Linked DNA regions of Xenopus tropicalis. The protein of the gene in region 3 interacts with the protein of the main gene of each other region in a biochemical or structural test. Links are inferred from orthologs where the notes say so. Each region holds a gene or a part of one and is shown on either strand. Other genes may lie near its edges.

Evidence for each region.
Region 1: the proteins of pard3 (region 3) and jam3 form a complex in vitro, tested with the Homo sapiens proteins (2 studies listed by BioGRID and IntAct, with this or other methods). The link is inferred for Xenopus tropicalis from reciprocal best matches to the Homo sapiens genes PARD3 and JAM3.
Region 2: the proteins of pard3 (region 3) and jam2 form a complex in vitro, tested with the Homo sapiens proteins (2 studies listed by BioGRID and IntAct, with this or other methods). The link is inferred for Xenopus tropicalis from reciprocal best matches to the Homo sapiens genes PARD3 and JAM2.

What each region holds. Positions count from the first base shown.
Region 1 is NC_030683.2:67,503,869-67,507,522, forward strand, and holds part of jam3 (junctional adhesion molecule C), read right to left. Parts: coding exon 3,652-3,654; intron 2,058-3,651; coding exon 1,855-2,057; intron 1-1,854. UniProt on the Homo sapiens protein: Junctional adhesion protein that mediates heterotypic cell-cell interactions with its cognate receptor JAM2 to regulate different cellular processes. Plays a role in homing and mobilization of hematopoietic stem and progenitor cells within the bone marrow.
Region 2 is NC_030678.2:18,672,572-18,676,783, forward strand, and holds the start of jam2 (junctional adhesion molecule B), read right to left. Parts: upstream 2,945-4,212; 5' UTR 2,922-2,944; coding exon 2,870-2,921; intron 1-2,869. UniProt on the Homo sapiens protein: Junctional adhesion protein that mediates heterotypic cell-cell interactions with its cognate receptor JAM3 to regulate different cellular processes. Plays a role in homing and mobilization of hematopoietic stem and progenitor cells within the bone marrow.
Region 3 is NC_030682.2:21,860,471-21,864,124, forward strand, and holds part of pard3 (partitioning defective 3 homolog), read left to right. Parts: intron 1-2,993; coding exon 2,994-3,376; intron 3,377-3,654. UniProt on the Homo sapiens protein: Adapter protein involved in asymmetrical cell division and cell polarization processes. Seems to play a central role in the formation of epithelial tight junctions. Targets the phosphatase PTEN to cell junctions.

The DNA.
Region 1 (3,654 bases), on a different chromosome or scaffold from region 3:
CCGCCCCCCAAACACCCCAATTTTCCCATTGACTTTGACAGGGAAGACTTTCAAACTGCTGCCACACTTACAGCTTTGAAGATTCACTCCCTAAACTTGAATAACATAATCATGGGGTCACCCCGAATGAAACAGCGACTTTGTTGGATGACCCCAAAGTGGGAAGGGCCAACAACAGCCAATAAAATTTCATCCATTGACTTTCATGGGGAAATTGAAACTGTTGCCAATCTTACAGCTTTAAGGCTACACTCCCCAAACTTGAATCACATAGTCATGGGGTCAGCCTGAATGAAAATATGATGATTGTTGGATGCCCAAAAGTGGGCAGAGCTGTGAACAGCCAATCAGATTTTACCTATTGACTTGGAGGAAATCCAACCTGCTGCCATTCTCACAGTAATAACACCGGGGTCCCCAAACTTTGCAGAGTTAGGCACCAGGTAACTGCGGTTAAAGGTTAGAAAAAGTGGGCGGAGCCACAAACAGTGAATCAAATTTGACCTATTGACTTTTAATGGGGATTAATCAGATTTTAACTATTGATTTTCAAAGAGGAAATTCAACTTGCTGACATTCTCACAGTATTAACACCAGGTCACTAGGGGACTGCATTTTTAGGTTTAAAAAAGTGGGTGGAGCCAACAGCCAATCAGACTAGACCTATTGGTTTTTTTTTTTGGTTAAATTTAAAATGCTGCCTTTCTCACACTATTTATGTCAGGGTTCCCAAATGTTACACAATCAGTGACAGGCTGACTACATATTCAGGGTTAAAACAAGTGGGCAGAGCCAATCCATTTCCACCCATTAAATTTCATTGGTTTATATTTAAACTTTAAACTGATGCCATTATTTAAGTATTAATTCCAGGGTTGTTAAACTTTTCAGAGTTAGTCACTGGGTATTTGCCATTCAAAGTTAGAAAAAAGTGGGCGGAGCCACCAACAGCCAATCGCATTTCACCTATTTACTTTCAATGGTGAAGTGTAAAATGCTGTCAGTCTCACAATTTTTATGCAGTGTTTTTTGCAAAGCTGGTCACTGGGGGACCAGGAAAAGTGGGTTGGGCCACTAACAGCCAATCAGATTTCATCCTTTTATTGGTTTAAATTTAAAATGCTGTCATTCTCACACTATTTATGCCAGGGTGCCCACTGTTTGTCACAGGGTGACTTCAACTCAAGGTTACAAAAAGTGGGCACACCCACCAACCACAATTTACCTATTGACTTTTACTGGTTTAAATTTAAACTGCCGCCGTTCTTTAACTATTAATCCTAGGGTCCCTAAACTTTGCAGCTACCAACCACAAATCAGATTTCACTTGTTGACTTTCAGTGGGGAAATTTAAATTGCTGCCATTCAGACACTATTAAAACCAGGGTCCCCAAACTTTTCACAGTGGTTCTTACTATGTAACTGTGGCCCAAGGTTAGAAAAAGTGGGCGGAGTCAACAAACAATCAGATTTCATTCAGTGACTTCACATTTTTCAACCCAACATGAAGTTTGTTCTCAAACTTCCCTTTCTAGTTTTATTTGAATTTATTTGTGTGTATATATATATATATTATATTTATATATAAAGGCCGCACACACAGGGACTTTGCAATAAGTGAAAAAGTGGTTTGTCCCGGAGGAAGAGCACTGTTAGTTGTTAAATTTTTCACTTATTGCAAACTCCCTGTGTTTGATTTTATGGGATAGGTATTTTAATGAATAAATACTGACTATTTAGATTTTTTGATGATTATGTGATTGGATATTTATAGGGGTTAAGTCCTTTAATTTTAGTGTGGTTCTAATAAAAAAAAAAAAGATCTGACAATTACAAACTATACTAGATACTTACCAGAGTACCTGATTTAGGGTCAAGTGTAAAGGATGAGTTCTGGAATTTCAAAGTTGATTTTGAGTCATCAGGTAGAGCTTCACTGTTGCGGTACCAGCGATACACAGAACTTGGGTAACCCTCATTCTCTTGACAATGAAGTACAGCAGATTTGCCCACTGGGACAGCTTTAGGCACTCTACATTGCGGAATTACTGGCTTCACTGAAATGTAAAAGGCCATGGCGTTTATTAAGAAAAAAACTTGAAACTAAAAATTGGCAGATTAATATATCATATTATTACACTGATAGAGGAAATCCCATGGCATCTTATAAACAGTAAACTAAGGAAAACTATGAAAGGCTGAAAAGAATGGAGCACAGTGCAACATTATCATGAGAAGCAAGGGTGACATAACATATACAGCCAAGCTTCAAATCAGAATGTTTTTGGAAGACTTAAATGTAGCTCAGTCCAATGCTTTCAGTAGATGAGCCATTTACATACTATGCACAAGGTTCACCATCTATGACACATCCAACTTCTATTAGGTTTAAAATAGGGGCCGATTTACTAAAGTGCGATAACGCTTATCGCATGCTTTTTTGCGTTAAAAAGCATGTGATAAATAAGTACTGATTCATCAAAGTCATTTAGCATGCGCTAAGACGCATATCGCATGCACAAAAAAACGCACTAAATTAGCGCAATGCGTTATTTACCTCGCATTGCGTTAATTCTAGAATAGATATAATACTAACGCATTATTCACAAACACATATGAAGCTTAAATACGCTAAATATCGCATTAGTCTGTGCGAAAATTAACACCTACTTGGGGCAGGCAGTACTTAAAGAATTGTGGTTCGTGAGCTTTTGGCAACACAACATGGACTTTGCAGTGGGATTTTTTCAGGTATGTGTTGGCCCTAGAGTGATGCATCCTCCAGTTTTCAGGCAAATGGTAATTTTCAGAAAAGCAATTTTCCAAAAGTAATGGTTACATGCATAAAATCATACGCTAATATCGCACGCGGCAAAATATATCGCACACAGTGGGAAATAATGCACGAGGCAGAAAATAACGCAAGAAAACTCATCGCGAGTTAAATAATGCAAAGAACATCGCGTCTTAATTATGACGCCTGTCCTTTTAGTGAATCGTGTATTAAGTCGCAAAAAATAAGACGCGATAAAATTTTTAACGCATGTTATAAATAGCACTCGTTTTATCGACCTTTAGTGAATCGGCCCCATAGTATCTTATGTATATACTTTGGGTGTGATGATACTACACAGTGCAAAAGAGCCTTGATCCACTTACTAATCAAAGCACTAGAACTTTTCCGATTCTGTGCAATTCAAACTTACACAAAGTAAAAGTACCTGCTAATGCCAATCATAAAGAGAGAGTGCACCATTTAACAGGCCTTCCCAGTGCATTGTTTTTTAATTCCAGGTGCAATATCCCTTTAATGTCCAGAATGTCTTTAAGATCATGTCAATAGGCTCAAATGTAAGGGAATGAATGTGTTTTTCTTGAAAAAAAATGAATGCATCTTTTTGCAAATAATTCCCTGTTTTCGACTCTCCCTGTAAAAAGGTGAACTGACCCCCTGTCACAGTTTTGAATAGTATTGAATAGTCAGCAGCCAACATGTTTTCTTTGCATCATTGGTTAATGTTGTATCCATTTCTAGAATTTTAAAAATGGAAAAGGGGTATTTTCCTAGTTCTGTTAATTCTACAATGTATTCTACAAATAGGTTTACAGCTATAGTCCAGATGAAAGGAGTAAGGTCATGATGCTCTTCACCTT
Region 2 (4,212 bases), on a different chromosome or scaffold from region 3:
ATGCAGGAACTACATAACCCAAAATACATTGCACTGTGATTTTCCTTTCCTTATTGATATCACGTGTGCAGGGAATTGTGGGATTGGGAGGATGCAGGCTGAAGGCAGGCTGAGGACAGGCGACTACTGTTACATTTTTTTTGAGACTGAAAAGTAGTCAGCCAGATCAGCAGGGGAACAGGGGGCGGGGCTTAGGGAACTGTTCCAAACCATATTATTACATTAAAAATCATAAAAAGGCTGCATATTTTTCATTGATGTATATTGCAAAGTTGCTAAAAATTGCAGGAGCAATGGAAAGACAGTTTAAAAATGCTAAAAATGGAGCAAGATGCACATTCTATCTTGCACAATCTGCACATGTATGTGAATGTGACGCCGGCCACTCGCAATCTGCCCATACATGTGAATGAGACACAGGCAGCCTGTACACACGTGTGTGAGAGCTGAGCAACCTGTACATATATGTAACTGAGAAATAGGTCACTCAGAGCAACCTGAATATAGATGTGTGAGAGAGAGAAACGGGTCACTAGCAAAGAAACTTTCCGAGAGTGGATTTAGCAGCAGCAGCAGCAGCGCGTCCCCTAATCTCCCCGTCGCACACGTGCATCTATTTCCCTAATGGCTGGAAACAGCAAAGTCATTTAAACCATGTGATCTGCTAACCATCTCCTTTATTTTTACCATCAAATAATCCAGTTTATTTGCAGGGATACAGAGGCATGCAGGGTGTAACCCAGACTCATATCTAACCTGTTGGCCCCCCAGCTGTTGCAGAACTGTATCCCCCAGGTGGCTGAACTACCATCCTGGAAAAATGATTGGAGCCTGAGAGCCCCCGCTGGGTATGGCAGATACACTTGTTACCCCCCTAAAATATTAGGATAAAATAAACCTAAACAGCAGTATAACAACGGATAGCTCCCTTTAAAGCCATTTGCTGTAAATCAGTTTGGCATAAACCACTTGTGTCCAAAAAGACTTCCCTTTGGGTCACAGTCCAAACTGGCACTAAGTACAGGTGTGGGACCCATTATACATAATGCTCGGGACCTGGGTTTTCCGGATAAGGGGTCTTTCCGTAATTTGGATCTCCACTGCTTAAGTCTGCTAAAAATCATTTAAATATTGAATAAACCCCATAGGATTGTTTTGCCTCCAATAAGGATTAATTATATCTATATATATATATATATATATATATATATATATATATATAGTTGGGATCAAGTACAAGGTACTGTTTTATTATTACAGATAAATTATTAAAGGAAATCACTTTTGAAAATGTGAATTATTTGATTAAAATGAAGTCTATGGGAGATGGCCTTTACGTAATTCGGAACTTTCTGGATAATGGGTTTCCGGATAAGGGGTCCGATACCTGTATATACCCCAGTCACACAGGGAAGCACATGCTGCAAATACAATACCCAAGGTTCCCCCAAAGGTAAGAACATATCTACGCCCTTATCAATGCTCCGCTACATTGCACAGGTAATGCAGTCCACCCTTTGTGCCACTGCTCATTTAAACTCTAAGGGTGAAGGCACACAGAGCTACTTAGTAGCAGCAACATTTCACGGCTACTAAATGCCAGAAAATACCCTGCCATAGACAATACTGAGATATGCCTCAATTATCAATACATAGTCAGCATTGTCTATTTCTGTAGCTGCTACTAGTAGCTCTGTGTCTTCACCCTAAGAGTAAATACTGGAATCTTGAAAAAGTATGAACAGTCTGTACCAGAATATCAAGTCCATTTTAAGTTGATGCCCATATTTAATAACCACTGTGCATGCTGGGAGTAGGCTGGTGGACTTAATATGGTTAAAATGTGCCAGGCTTCTTATAAAAGTTGGCAAAATAATATTCTAGGTTAGACAGGGCTCTGATGATGTCATACAGAATCCTGAAGTCAAAAATACAATAAAGTCACACAGAGCACTAATGATGTCACACAGAATCCTGAAGTCATAAATATAATAAATTCAGTCACACAGAACACTAATGATGTCATACAGAATCATGAAGTCAGAAATATAATAAATTAAGTCACACAGAACACTAATGATGTCATACAGAATCATGAAGTCAGAAATATAATAAATTAAGTCACACAGAACACTAATGATGTCATACAGAATCTTGAAGTCATAAATATAACACATTAAGTCACACAGAGCAGAAATGATGTCACACAGAATCCCTAAGTCAGAAATATAATAAATAAAGTCACACAGAGCACTAATGATGTCATACAGAATCCTGGGGGCAGAATTATAATAAAGTCACACAGAGCACTAAAGATGTCACACAGAATCCTGAAGTCAGAAATATAATAAATTCAGTCACAAAGAACACTAATGATGTCATACAGAATCCTGAAGTCAGAAATATAATACATTAAGTCACATAGAGCAGAAATGATGTCATACAGAATCCCAAAGTCATAAATATAATAAATTAAGTCACACAGAACACTAATGATGTCATACAGAATCCTGGGGGCAGAAATATAATAAATAAAGTCACACAGAGCAATAATGATGTAATAGCGGATCATGGAGCCAGCAGTATATAATATTCTAAGTCAGACCGGCACTAATAGCCTAATAGAGAATTTGGCAGTAGCAGCAGCCAATCCCCGGCATGCAGGCAGAGCAGGGAAACATGTAGCCCATGAGGGGGGATGCAGAAAGTATGGGAGTGAGGGTCCCTGTGGGCAGGCGGGCAGGCGGGCAGGCAGGCAGGACAAAGGCTCCCAGCCCGGATTTCACAACCCCCCGACACACACAGAGCACAAAGTGCCGACAGAAAGCGCCCAAAGCAGCGGAGTTCAGTAAAGATCCCAGAAACTTACAGCAAAGCGCCGCAAAGTAGCCGAGAAAGATCGCACAGGCTGGAGACCGCATCCTCCGAGTCCGTTAGATGAGAGAATAAGCGCAGACCGAGCGGCACAGCCAACAGTGAGAGGGGCAGGCACCTTGTAACGGGGAAGTGCGGGATGCACAGGAATGTGCCGCTCTGGCGCCCCCTACCCGCAGCGCCGCTAATAGCGCCCTCCAACCACCGCTTGCTCTGCATCCCCTCCCTGTAATCTCTCCCTGCTCAGCGCTGGCTGAAGTGTGAAAGTACATTTATTTATAAACCACTTCCATTCTTCTTCATTCTTCTATCAGACTGCTCATTCCGCTGCATAAAAACACTATGTACAGAATATACTTTAGCGTTGTTATTGGTCCTACCTGTCTGTTGGACTACAAATCCCAGCATACCCTGCGTCGCTTTTGAAAGCTTGTGTTTTGTACTGTAACAAATAATGGAGTGTGGCTGCGGAAACCAACAAATGCTTTGTGATAAAAATGCTTTCAGATATTTGTTCTAAGAATTGGGGATGCTCCAAATCCTAATCTTTAGTATCATTTATTTATACAGAGCTTTTACAGAGATTATACATCACTCACTGCCCCAGTGAAGATTACAATCTGAGGCCCCTACTGATAAATTACCGGCCTGTATTTATAAAGATACCCACAAAAACACACAGGCAGGGTCAGACTAGGGGGTGCAGGGCCCACCGGGACTTCTGCCTCAGGAGACCCTGCACCCCCAAATGGCCCCTGCCGCCTTCACTGCCCCCCCCCCCCCGCAGAGGCCCCCAACACCCTCCGACCCCCACCCCCGAGCTCTCCTAAAAGAAACTTACCTGCGTCGGGTCGGGGGAGGGAGATGGCGAATCATGGGAGCACCCTGGGGGGATCGGATCTCGACCGACACTGCACACAGGGTGGAACTGGGGTGTGTGGGGCCCACTGGGGCCCCCTAACACCCTTAGGGGCCCTTGACACCCGACCACTGCCATCCACCCCTCCCCAGCGCATATATCTCATATTTACCTAGGCTCAATCTGGGGAGGGAGAGCAGCAGGGGAGATATGATGCTTCCCGGTGGTGATGGGGTCTGGGTCAGTGGGGCCCACCGGGTTTTTTTCTCAGTGTCCCACCGGCTTAGTCTGATCCTGTAGACACAGGGAGAACATACAACTCCTTGCAGATAGCGCCCTGTCTTGATTTGAACTGAGGACCCCTAGCACTACAATCAGTACTAACCACTAAGACACCATACTGCTCAATCCTCCAAAAGATTTTCTGGAAAAATGAATTACATATTTAGATCTGAGCAATATATAATGCAGAATCCAGA
Region 3 (3,654 bases):
ATAGGGCTGTTCTGCCCCCAATAAGGGGTAATTATATCTTAGTTGGGATCAAGTACAGGTACTGTTTTATTATTACAGAGAAAAGGGAATCATTTAACCATTAAATAAACCCAATAGGACTGTTCTGCCCCAATAAGGGGTAATTATATCTTAGTTGGGATCAAGTACAGGTACTGTTTTATTATTACAGAGAAAAGGGAATCATTTAACCATTAAATAAACCCAATAGGGCTGTTCTGCCCCCAATAAGGGGTAATTATATCTTAGTTGGGATCAAGTACAGGTACTGTTTTATTATTACAGAGAAAAAGGAAATTATTTTTATAAATTAGAATTATTTGCTTATAATGGAGTCTATGGGAGATGGCCTTTCTGTAATTCGTAACTTTCTGGATAACGGGTTTCCGGCTAAGGGATCCTATACCTGTATCTACATTATGATATATATGATATAGACTTATACATGTAATACAGTAACAGGTGCAGTGTTTGCTCCTGTTATGGTAACCCTAAGCAACCAAACAGCAGGACCAATTACAGTTCTGCTGTTTGAAAGTTAACCAATGATTGGTTGCTATGGGTTACAATGCATGTTTTATGACATTGCTTCCTGCGCCACAGGTCCAATTCATTACCGGGTTTAATACAATAAATCAGTATGATGCATGACCCCCAAGATGAAGCACCTGTGACCACAGATGGACTCAGAACCCCCAGTATGAGCCGTGCTTGTCTAGACGACACTGCTTCTTGTTTACAGATTGCCATGATCCTTTGGGGAGTTAGCAATTTAGCTTAGCCTGCTCAGGGAAAGTGCTGAAAGATAAAGAAAATGGTTCTGTTTTTATTGCAAATTCATTGCTACAATCCACTAACAGCAGGGGTAAGTTTTGAGGTTGTTTTTACAGCCCAGCATGATAATCTAATACATTCCCGCGTTCTGCTTTTATACCGTGTGTTGTGTGACTGGATTTTATATCCATCCTCACTCCTTTCTCTCAACAAGATATTCCCTGTGCACAGGCAGAAATATACACTAGTAAATCCTGTAGTGCTCATGTACCCAGAACGTTAAGCACATCTCATTTATCATGTACTTTTCGTAAATATTTATAAAGCTGTTGGCCAATAATTCATTTAGAGTGCAAACTGCCAGTGTAAAACTGACATTTATGGCATTACCTGTATCGTAAAAATACAACATGAAAGGCTCTAGGTTTAATATTGCCAGTTAGCCAGCCTGTCATAAAGTCCAGCACGCTTGCCTTGGATCATACATAGGGCAAGATTAGATCTATCTATACTCTGGGACAAGCTCCTATAAACATAGATGTACATTTACTTAGGGCCCATTTTTCCCCTATCAAATCTTTGTGATGCCCAATCACTAGACCAACGACCATCCGAGTATCAGGTAAAACTTCTCATTTTATTGGAACTTGATTAAAACCTTATTGGGAATTGTTATAAGGTTATGGAATCATCACATGTATTTAAACGCATGCTGAACAATGCCACTTGGACCCCATGTATGTGCCGGGGGTTACCCGCTGGCTATAGTCTTCTTCCCATTTGATCTGTAGACCCTGCATGCTCGACTGGATTAAACACACCGTACCCCAACTGTGCAGTCAGACTTTATAGACAAAATCTCATAAAAGCTAGACTTTGTCAGATTCCTAAACACTGCAACTTAAGATCAATATTTATTTATTAAAACCCACAAATCAAATCCCCCCCAGGTTAGAATCCAGGAGGTTTCAACAGATGCTAACAGTGAGTTTGCGGCACAGACAATCTTAAAAGTCCTCTTATTGCTCCTTCTTTTGTACTAAAATAAAGTATGCAAATAAAACAACTGTCAGGTTGGCTTTATGCACTCAGGATAGCATTTATTAAATGCTCCTCTAATGTAAAACCACTCGCAGCACTAACGGCTTCCCCTGCGATGAATGAATAACACATGTTAATATGCAGGGGAAGAGGCCCGGGGGACACCCTGGCAAACGTGTTAGGTCTTAGACACCTTACAGTCTCTTGCCCTGGGGGAAAACATATTGGTTAAATGTGGCCATAGCATTTTATAGTCCGACATAATAGGGTTTCGTAGCGCACTACAGAGCTCTTAAACTCTGGCGTTTTCTCATGCGAGTTATTAAGCACAATAAACAGCCCTATCATAGGTTGAATGCACTCGACTCATTTATGGCTTGTATGAAATACAAATTCCTACCTTCATGCACACCCATAGGCTATTAGCTGACCTCAGGTCTTACAGATGGAAACAAATGGGAATAACAGTCCCTATCTTTGAATAGGATTCATCTGTTTTTCTTTAGCTTGCCTCTACCCCCTTCCTTTTTAAAATTTCCCCTTTGCATCTTTCTAATGGAAACAATAAAAGCTTAGTTTGTAATAACCTTCTGTCGTATGAAGGTGGTACTGTCTTAGTTTGCAGCCTTAGTTGGCATTGTGTCACTGGCTGTCTTGCTTCCATAGCCCTCCTGTTCTATAATCTTTCACAAAGCCGAGTGACCTAGAGGGGATATGGAAATGGCATCATAAGGTCACAGGGAAATAAGTTTTCCTTGTAGAAAGATCAATAGCTGATTGTCTGAACAAAGAGAAGGTAGCAATCACAGTCAGCTGTTGGCAGGTGTTGGCTACATGCCATATTGCATGCCGTCTTGCCACGCAAGCGTCTCTTTAAGCAGAAGTTGCCAGTAGTATCATTAATAAAGTCACATTTACGATGAGTGCCATAGGCGGTACAAGTATGGCCACTGGATAGTCTCTTGTTCTGTGTGGCCAGCTCAGCAAGTGGGTTCTCAGTTAAGTTCTCAGAATGGACTTATCTCATTTAGCACAATACTGGGATTTTCTGTTGCTGTAGATAGTAGAATTATGTGTAAGGATCCATAACTATCTGTTTTGTCCAGTCAGTTCTATTTTAGTGCATTTGCCAATCTGTATTCCCTGTTTTGTTGTTCTAGAGCACAGAATATGTTCCGCCAAGCCATGCGCTCACCCATAATCTGGTTCCACGTGGTCCCAGCGGCAAACAAAGAACCATATGAACAGTTATCTCAGAGCGAGAACAACAGCTACTACTCCAGTCAGCACGTGCATGATTCCCAGTACATGGACTCCAGGAGTTTCTCTAGCCCCGGCCCTGATCACACTGCGCAGAGAATGCCCAGGCAGAGCAGCCAGGCCGATCCAATGGACTCTTACTCTCATCTACCTCAAAGTATCAATTCAGCAGGAAAACCACCCACTGGCCTGACCACATCCCCGCAGCGTGCAGTCAGCCCCCCCACCAACAGCGCTTACGGTACCAAAAAGGGAAAGAAGTTTTACATTCAGCTGAAGAAAGGTAAGTAGTGCAACAATAGCCATAGCTTGAAGGCTTGAATGTTTTATTACAGGTAGGAAACCATAAATGCCTCTGTTGGGCACCATCTATAGAGAGAATGTAAGTGGGGATGAGGGTTTAAAGATAAAATAGGCACCCCATTTTAACATGAGCTTATCAGTTGGGCTTAATTAAAAAAGGTGCATAAACAGTACCTGAACTTACAAGTGAATATAAATGTATTTATTTTTACACAGACAGCATATTGGAGGAAATACATGTTTAGGTGGCCATTGGTC